Linked DNA regions of Kluyveromyces lactis. The protein of the gene in region 2 binds, or shares a complex with, the protein of the main gene of each other region. Links are inferred from orthologs where the notes say so. Each region holds a gene or a part of one and is shown on either strand. Other genes may lie near its edges.

The links. The genes of interacting proteins can lie anywhere in the genome.
Region 1: KLLA0_D06831g (region 2) and PDP3 share a complex: the UniProt entries of both Saccharomyces cerevisiae proteins name them as parts of the nuA3 histone acetyltransferase (HAT) complex. The link is inferred for Kluyveromyces lactis from reciprocal best matches to the Saccharomyces cerevisiae genes TAF14 and PDP3.
Region 3: KLLA0_D06831g (region 2) and IES5 share a complex: the UniProt entries of both Saccharomyces cerevisiae proteins name them as parts of the chromatin-remodeling INO80 complex. The link is inferred for Kluyveromyces lactis from reciprocal best matches to the Saccharomyces cerevisiae genes TAF14 and IES5.

What each region holds. Positions count from the first base shown.
Region 1 is NC_006038.1:945,901-948,628, reverse strand, and holds PDP3 (Pdp3p), read right to left. Parts: upstream 1,515-2,728; coding exon 501-1,514; downstream 1-500. Other genes in the region: KLLA0_B10824g (pyridoxal 5'-phosphate synthase), read right to left, coding at 1-36; BSP1 (Bsp1p), read right to left, coding at 2,195-2,728. UniProt on the Saccharomyces cerevisiae protein: Histone-binding component of the NuA3b histone acetyltransferase complex. Targets the NuA3b HAT complex via histone H3K36me3 to the coding regions of actively transcribed genes to coordinate transcription elongation.
Region 2 is NC_006040.1:588,334-590,998, forward strand, and holds KLLA0_D06831g (uncharacterized protein), read right to left. Parts: upstream 1,380-2,665; coding exon 1,371-1,379; intron 1,263-1,370; coding exon 501-1,262; downstream 1-500. Other genes in the region: AIM41 (Aim41p), read right to left, coding at 1,888-2,445. UniProt on the Saccharomyces cerevisiae protein: Functions as a component of the DNA-binding general transcription factor complex TFIID, the RNA polymerase II associated general transcription factor complex TFIIF, and the chromatin-remodeling complex SWI/SNF.
Region 3 is NC_006041.1:1,787,854-1,790,188, reverse strand, and holds IES5 (Ies5p), read right to left. Parts: upstream 855-2,335; coding exon 501-854; downstream 1-500. Other genes in the region: TORC2 complex subunit TSC11, read left to right, coding at 1-481; KLLA0_E20087g (uncharacterized protein), read left to right, coding at 1,119-1,493; MET6 (5-methyltetrahydropteroyltriglutamate-homocysteine S-methyltransferase), read left to right, coding at 1,877-2,335.

The DNA.
Region 1 (2,728 bases), on a different chromosome or scaffold from region 2:
TACTAAATGCTCTGGCAAATCAACGGTAGTGGACATAACAACTTGAAAGTTATTGAAGTAATACTTGGCGTATTTGATAAACAATAAAAATTTACAGGAAATATAATTAAAATATCGGTTCCCTAATGTGCTAGCTTATGGGAAAGATGTCTGATGTTTGTAATGAAGTGCACAATTTTGCTACCTTAAAGTCATTTTAAAGGTTTTGGCAATTTTGTTAATAATAACAATTGATGGGGAACAGAGCGATAAACGTAAATAATGATACATTATGATTGAAGGGTCCAAGAAAAGAAGGAATAGGTACGGTGAGGTAACTGGAGAGGTGGTAGGGATGAGATTATGTAGGTTAATGTGATAGATTTTACATGAGAATAATGTCAGAATTGAATTGAATTTGTTATAAAGCAGTAATGCATTGTTTGTGCTTTCCTTTTGAACGGTTCTTTTGTGCTCTTATTATGAATCGAAGATATTAAAAGTGACAGTTGTGATCCACTCTATGGGGATAGCGAACCCTTCAGTTTCAGTTTTTCCTTTTTGATCTTTTGAACATGAGGTGCCCACACTTCCAATATAGTGTTACAAGATTCGTGAAACTGTGATAATTCAGGCATACTAGAAATGACTTTTAATAGTTTATGCAATTTGGATACCCTAAGGGCTTCTAAATCAAAGAATTCCGGTGTTGATTTAGTATGTGATAGGATTTTCCTCATGAGTTTATCAGACTCGGCAAGATCTGCATCTGTTGGTGGGGTATCTCGTTGAACCAAACACTTCTGTAATTTGTTACGGAATATTTGAGCAATCTCTACCCTACGTGAGTAGTCAAGCTTACTGCGTTTCTTGGGAGGTTCTTCTGGTACGAATGAAGGAGATGTCGAGAGAGATTCTGATGAGCTTTCCCTCTTCTTCTTGAAATCTGAAACAGATGTTGCGACAGGTGTAGATACCGGTGAGTCTCTATTTTTGTTTCCACTACTGGGCGACTTTTTAGCTTTGGTACTTCCGTTACTGTTATTATTGGAGGTAGAATCCTCTGATTCGCTTTCATTTCTTCTTCTGCCCCGTCTTTTATCCGTAGATTTAGTGTCTTCCAGTTTTAACTCAATATTGGAAAGTAATGGGTCCTCTCCCATCTTAACTTCAGCGATAGTTTCCAAATCATCCGCTCTTCCCTCCGCTGTCAACCTGTCTTCGACAAACTCTTGCAAACTCGTATAGTCGGATGCAAACTGGTAAGCTTTCTTCAACTCTTTCGAAGACCTTTTGGGCGGCGATTTTATCCACGCTTCTATATTTTCCTCAGTAAGAAGTTTTAACTGTTTTGGTTTAGTCCAATAATAGGTAGAATCGTTAAAAAATGCCACAGCAACTTGACCAACGTTCTCCTTCGCCTTCAGCACACTCTTACTCAATATCCGTTGAGGAACAACTACAGCTGGCCATGGTTCGTAACTGCCCACGGTGCAAAGAACCAGGTCACCAGTAACTAAAAGCCCGTCTGTCATATTTTGCTTAAATAGATTGTGTATTCGGATTGGTAAAATCTGTAAGTATAATGGAAAGGAAACTAAAACCCTAAATGTCAGGGCGTAAAGATCAAATAGTAAACTCTGATATCTCTCTTTCTCAGTTTCTTGAGCACTCAATAGGTAAACACAAATAACGGTTTCGACAGAAAGAATGCTAAACGCTAGAATAGAAGCTTTAAAATCTTACGCTCTAACTTCGCACTGGCAACACAAATAGCAAAGGAAAGAAGAGGCCGTATAACAGAATTAACTTGACCTCCTTCCCTAAATGAACTGAGATGAAAACGAAAACAAAACTCTTAAGCTACCAGTAATCACTTTTCTCACACACAACACCACAGTAATAGCTGCGTGTGTTCTGACCAGTGAAAGACTGTTTGGACGAAATATGAATGGGAACTTCGGCAATCAAAATTCCATATCAACTGCTCAAGAAGCATATATTGAATATAATTTGAAATAATTGATTGTTTTGTTTTGGATAAAAAAAAAGCTTTAAGGTCGGAAAATGGAATAAGTAATTAGGAATTAAAGGCATACGTATTTAGAAGGGTAACTTTACAAGATCAATGAACGCACATTAGCAGTTGACGAATGCGTTTTTGCCGGATTGTGCAACTAGTTTGTGGTTCGAGTTAATATGAATAAGGAGGTATTTACAATTTAGTGACGTCTGTTGGGAGCTTACGTTTTGGACCCTTAGAACGTACCTTTGTTAGCATTTTCTTTGTCTTCGCATTCAATGCGTCAGATGATGAGTTTGCAGATGATGCAGTTGACGACGCCAATGCCGATAGAGAGGCCTGACTACTGTTGATTGTTTTAATCAGTTGCTTTTGGAACTTTGAGCCATGCTTTTGTAGGCTCTTTAATGATGAAGAGGATTTCTTTTCAATTTCCGATTCCGTTGAGGATCTCAAAAGAGCTTGCCTCTTTGCCATCGCTTCAGGTATTTCTTCTACAGAACTGATAGAAGAAGGAGGTTTGTTCAGTTTAGACTTGGCTTTAACTGCTTCTGGAGTGATATCACGACGAGATGGTGCTGTGTGGGTCTTACGTAGCGATTTTCTTACAGCGAAAAATTCGTTTTGTTCGTCATATTCGTCATCGTCATCATCATTGCTGTTGTAAGCATCGTCATCAGATGGTAACGAAGGTCTTGATGATCTCACTTTAGGGTTTCTAAGTTC
Region 2 (2,665 bases):
TGAGTTTTGACTCTTATTGTTCGAGGAACGTAAGGCTGATATGTTTGTAAACAACCACTTGTTAGTGACAATGCTGCTAGTGACAAACGTTATGGCAATATTAGATTAAAACATACCATTACAAAATCTTTTTCCATTATGTTAAGTGTTGACTTGATGCCAATACAGTTTTCTATCGACGGCTTGCGGACCGTTGTGCTACAACAATAGTAAAACATAATGGAGTATTGTGATATGCTATCATGTAGAATTTGATTCAAACTATTATTTTTTTCAGAGATAAGCTCATCGGTAGGAGGTCGACAATAATTAAAGTCAAGTCCAAGGGCGAATTCAATCAAATATTTCAGTGCAATTTTCCCTAGGCTTGATTTGTCTATTCATTATAGTGTTCATTTGGTACTTTTTCTGCAAGCAGTGCCTGTTAGTGGAGATGTAAGTTATAAAATACAACTACATAATTGTAATGGTTAAATTAGATAAACATGTGAGAGGTCCGGTTACTCGGTGTTTTTCTTGACGTATTCCCATAAACTCTTCAATAGACTTTCAGGCAAGCTATATAAATCAATAACGAACTCACCTTCTTCGATATTGTTCGTAATATTCATTTCTGGAGTTTTGTTATCAGTTATCATTTGTACTACTCCAACCAATGTATCCTCGTTTAGTTTTGTTAAGCCAAATGCTAACTTTTCCAAGTTCACAGAGCCTTTCACTGTTGAAGCGGAGGCGGTCTTGGCTTTTTTCGTTTTTACATCACCATTGACAGTAGATGCTTTTCTCTTGTCACCTGGAGTGGTGGCAGCTGTCGCTGTTGCATTTGGAGTTGCTGCTGCTGTTGATGCTACTTCATCGACAGGTCCACTTTTCTCTAGTTCTGCTCTTAGAAGAGGCTTATTGGTAGGAACTTGGATTACATGATCAATTTCATAGGCATCTTTCATGAAATGTAGGTCGTGAGTTATCTTCTTCTCGCCCCCTTTCTCAAGAAGATGCGCACTTATCAACAATTCAAAGCCACCCCAGCCTTGTTCTTCAATTCTAAAAGGAGGTTCCGTGAATGTTCTATGAGGGTTTGCAAAAGTTGGATGCAAATGATACACTACCTTATCAAATATCGTGGCTGGAATTTCGTTTCCTTGTTCATCCAAAAGAACTAATTCAATGGTCCATTGACGCATAGGAAAGTTTTCTACTGGAGGTGGTACATCCGGTAGGACAGATTGCTTGGTCTTAATTCTGACCGTTCTCTTCACAGTCTGTTTCCGAAATATTGAATAAAAGGTCTGTTAGTAAACTCATTGTGAAAAGAAACCTTCTAAAAACGAACTGAAGAAGCTTTTCAGTCTTTTTTAATCATTACATACCGACACCATCGTTGGTTGATTTGATTGGGGGTTATAAGCACGTCTAATGTTTCTCTTCTGGATATTTTCGTACTTGTAATTGCCATTATTTATCTCTGAATTTGAAATTTAGTCAATTCATGTTTTCAATGTTTGGTGAAATTTAGAGGAAGTACTACAATAAGGTGGAGGAAGGCAGTTGAAGATGCATGCAAGAGTTACGATTATGCTATTGTGGAGAGAGCAAAAGACTATCATGTCCATATTCTCCCCACTTAGTAGTTACCAGAGAGTATTGGTTACTATGTTTTATCACGTGATCTGGCAAAGCATCCTAGCGAACAACATGGCTTTATCAGAAGTCTTTAGATAGAGAATTGTTCACGTGAGTCAAATCCATTGCTGCGGCTTGATATTGCATAATTGTAAGTACATTTATTTACGGGATTGATGTGCCTACTTAATCACAAGGGCGTCATTCATCGGAGTTTTTTTTTTAATGAATGACTCTGTACAAGTTTGGTTTTAGCTAGGTGATTTATTGGAACACTTTCTTAAATTGAGAGCTAATACTGGACCTGATAGCAGCTGGAGATGCCTTCAATTCGCCTGGTAGTGTTTTCCAGTCAATTTTTCCGAAGACCTGCTTCAATTGTATAGATGGCTCTGATTCTTTTAGATCTGTTAAAATCTGCACAACACGAGCGTCTACTTCCTCCCTAGAAGCAACAGGCAAGGCAGTCTGATAATTCTCGAGGATCTTTATCTCATTGGCTTCTTTCTCTACCAAATCTTCTCTCTTATTTTTAACAAATTCAGCGATGGAGTCCTTCCTTTGCGAGATTAACTTGGCGTACACATCATACAATACAAATTCATCTAGATCCTTATCCTTACTGTCAATTTCCTTGTTCTTAATTGTAGATAGTACACCTCTAATGGTTGTCTTTCTTAGGTTGTCTTTTGCAAGCATTGCCTTCTTCAAGTCTTGTTTTAATGCAGCGATCCCATCAATGTAGCCTTGAGAACTGGCAAATCTAACAAAGGTTCTGGTCGTTGCAGTAGCGCGAACGCTTGGGATAACACATCTTAACATCTTTGTATTCGCTAATGATTTGGATGCTTGTCTTGAAGATTGAACCAAACGATCAAGATTATAGAAGGTCTATTAAATGTAACGTTTCTTTGTATTTGTTCATAGGTGCCGGTGTCTTTTGGGTTACTTGAATTTTCATAGAAATTATCATCAAGATGCAATTTTATTACCGTTGATCGGTTAAGTAAAAAAAAATATTCAGTGCAAGTCGCGCTTTTCT
Region 3 (2,335 bases), on a different chromosome or scaffold from region 2:
ACACAATCAGAACGCGGCGTCTATATGTAACAATGAACTGAATTCGAACATTATAGTTGGGGACCATGAGATCCCTTTAGACAACTTATTGGAATGGGAAAGATCCGAGACGTCTGTGAATCCCGACCAGCAGGAAGAGGACAAACAAGAATTGGAACGAGCGATCCGAGAGATATCCCAAACAAATGAGTCGAAACTGCCAGATGTGTTTGAAGATGACAAGATCAACAATAGGATCCTAAGGATAGTAAGCGATATGGGCAACAATATCCTTCTGAATGGTGCGATCAAAGAGATAACTGCTCTCCAGTCCAAGTATGGGCCTAGTAGATTCCAAAGCCCAGAAATGTTTGAACAAGTTTATGAATTATTGGGAGAGTACCGATTCAAACCCTCAGTTCGAAAATTTTTGTTGGAACTGTTCATCAACACACGAGCCGTTGAGAACATGATACGGAACGAGAGGAGAAGAAAAAGATAATTCAGGACAAGCCAAACTTTCATTCAGAACCATCCTTATATAGTAATGGAGTCATCTTAAATAATTCATAAGATTCTTGTAAAGCTTCTGGGATCTCGATTTCATCCAAGGGCAACGAGTTCACTTCTTCTAAACTCTTCAAAAGTGGTACCAGAGCATCCCAATCTTTAAACTTCTGATAATCTGGCTGTTGGAAGATGGGGTATCCATTTAAATTGATGTGAATAGGCTCACCTAATGATTCTAATACCTGGCAGACACTTGTAATCTTGCGAAGCAAGATACTGTAATCTTTCCTAAGAGAAACGTCTTGTTTCAGCAATTCTTCTCTTCTATTAAGAAGCTTCTTGTGCTCTACTTCCAAAGTCGGCATATTGGATGTTTGGTGGTAATAGCACTGAAACTGGAGAAAATCGTCTCACCTCGTAAATAGTTGTTCGAAGTTAAGAAGAAGAGTGATAATTGCTGGCTTAAATTTCTGCTGAAAGAGAGTTCCAATCGAGAGAGACAGTCTACTACTTCTGTAGGTCACGTGAAAATACATGTGACTTGGAAATGCTGTTCAGTTTGGAGCTCTTTCAATCAATCCGGGTAAGTATCACGAAGTCATCGTCACCATGTGAAAGAAAGGAGGAGGATGGTGTGGAAAAAAAAGGATCAAAATTGCTTTGGAAAAGTGCATAAAAACGCCACAACAAGCACAACCACCGCCCCAACCACACCCTTACAGACCAAATTGAGCCACATTGCAGTCCGAACCATTCCCCGTGACCGGTTAGCCATGACTACGGCACAGCACGTGACAGTTACCATTTGCCCAACCTACGTCGGTCTTATACCACACTATTTACGTCAAAACACCGTGCAGGAAACCATGTGGAAACCATTAGGCAAACCACATGTGAAATGCTGTGCGATTCGTGGGAAGTGTTATTTTGACGACATGTGCTTTTCTATGGTATCTGAGAGAGCCCCATCTCTGCAGAAAGAATCCTTTGGTGAATTGTGGTGAAAAGTTTTGTTCTGTTACGTTCCGATGAGCTCAAGTCAAAAGTAAGTAGTAGTAGCAGCAGTAGTAATAGTGGCAGTTTTGTAGTTGAGCAGATTTTTTCGTGGGAACGACTAGAGCAGCCGAAGGTAATTAAGACTCATCGTTTAAACGATGTTTGTTGGATCAGAAACTTCAGTCCAAAGAGGATCTGAAAAAAAATGTATATAAGCAGTCGACTCTTGATGTAATTTGAGGAGTGACAATTGTTCATCATTACAATAATAAAAGGAATTATGTGTACTTTGTTTAAATACAGATTTATTTCCTTTATCATTCAGTTTGAGTTTAATATCTTAAGCCAAACAAACCAATCACTAATCATACATTAGTTTGTCAATAACAAAATGGTTCAATCATACGTCTTAGGGTTCCCAAGAATTGGGCCAAACAGAGAATTGAAGAAGGCTACCGAAGGGTACTGGAACGGTAAGGTCTCTGCTGAACAATTACAACAAGTTGCTAAGGACATCAAGGCCTCTAACTGGAAGTTGCAAAAGGATGCTGGTGTCAATGTCATTGCTTCCAACGATTTCTCTTTCTACGATCAAGTCTTGGATCTTTCTCTATTGTTCAACGTTATCCCACAACGTTACTCTAAGTATGAATTGTCTCCATTGGACACTTACTTTGCTATGGCTAGAGGTTTGCAAAGAAAGGCTACCGAAACCACTGCTGCTGTTGATGTGCCAGCTTTGGAAATGGTTAAATGGTTTGACTCCAACTACCATTATGTCAGACCAACCTTCTCTAACTCTACTGAATTCAAATTGAACGGTCAAAAGCCAGTTGATGAATATTTGGAA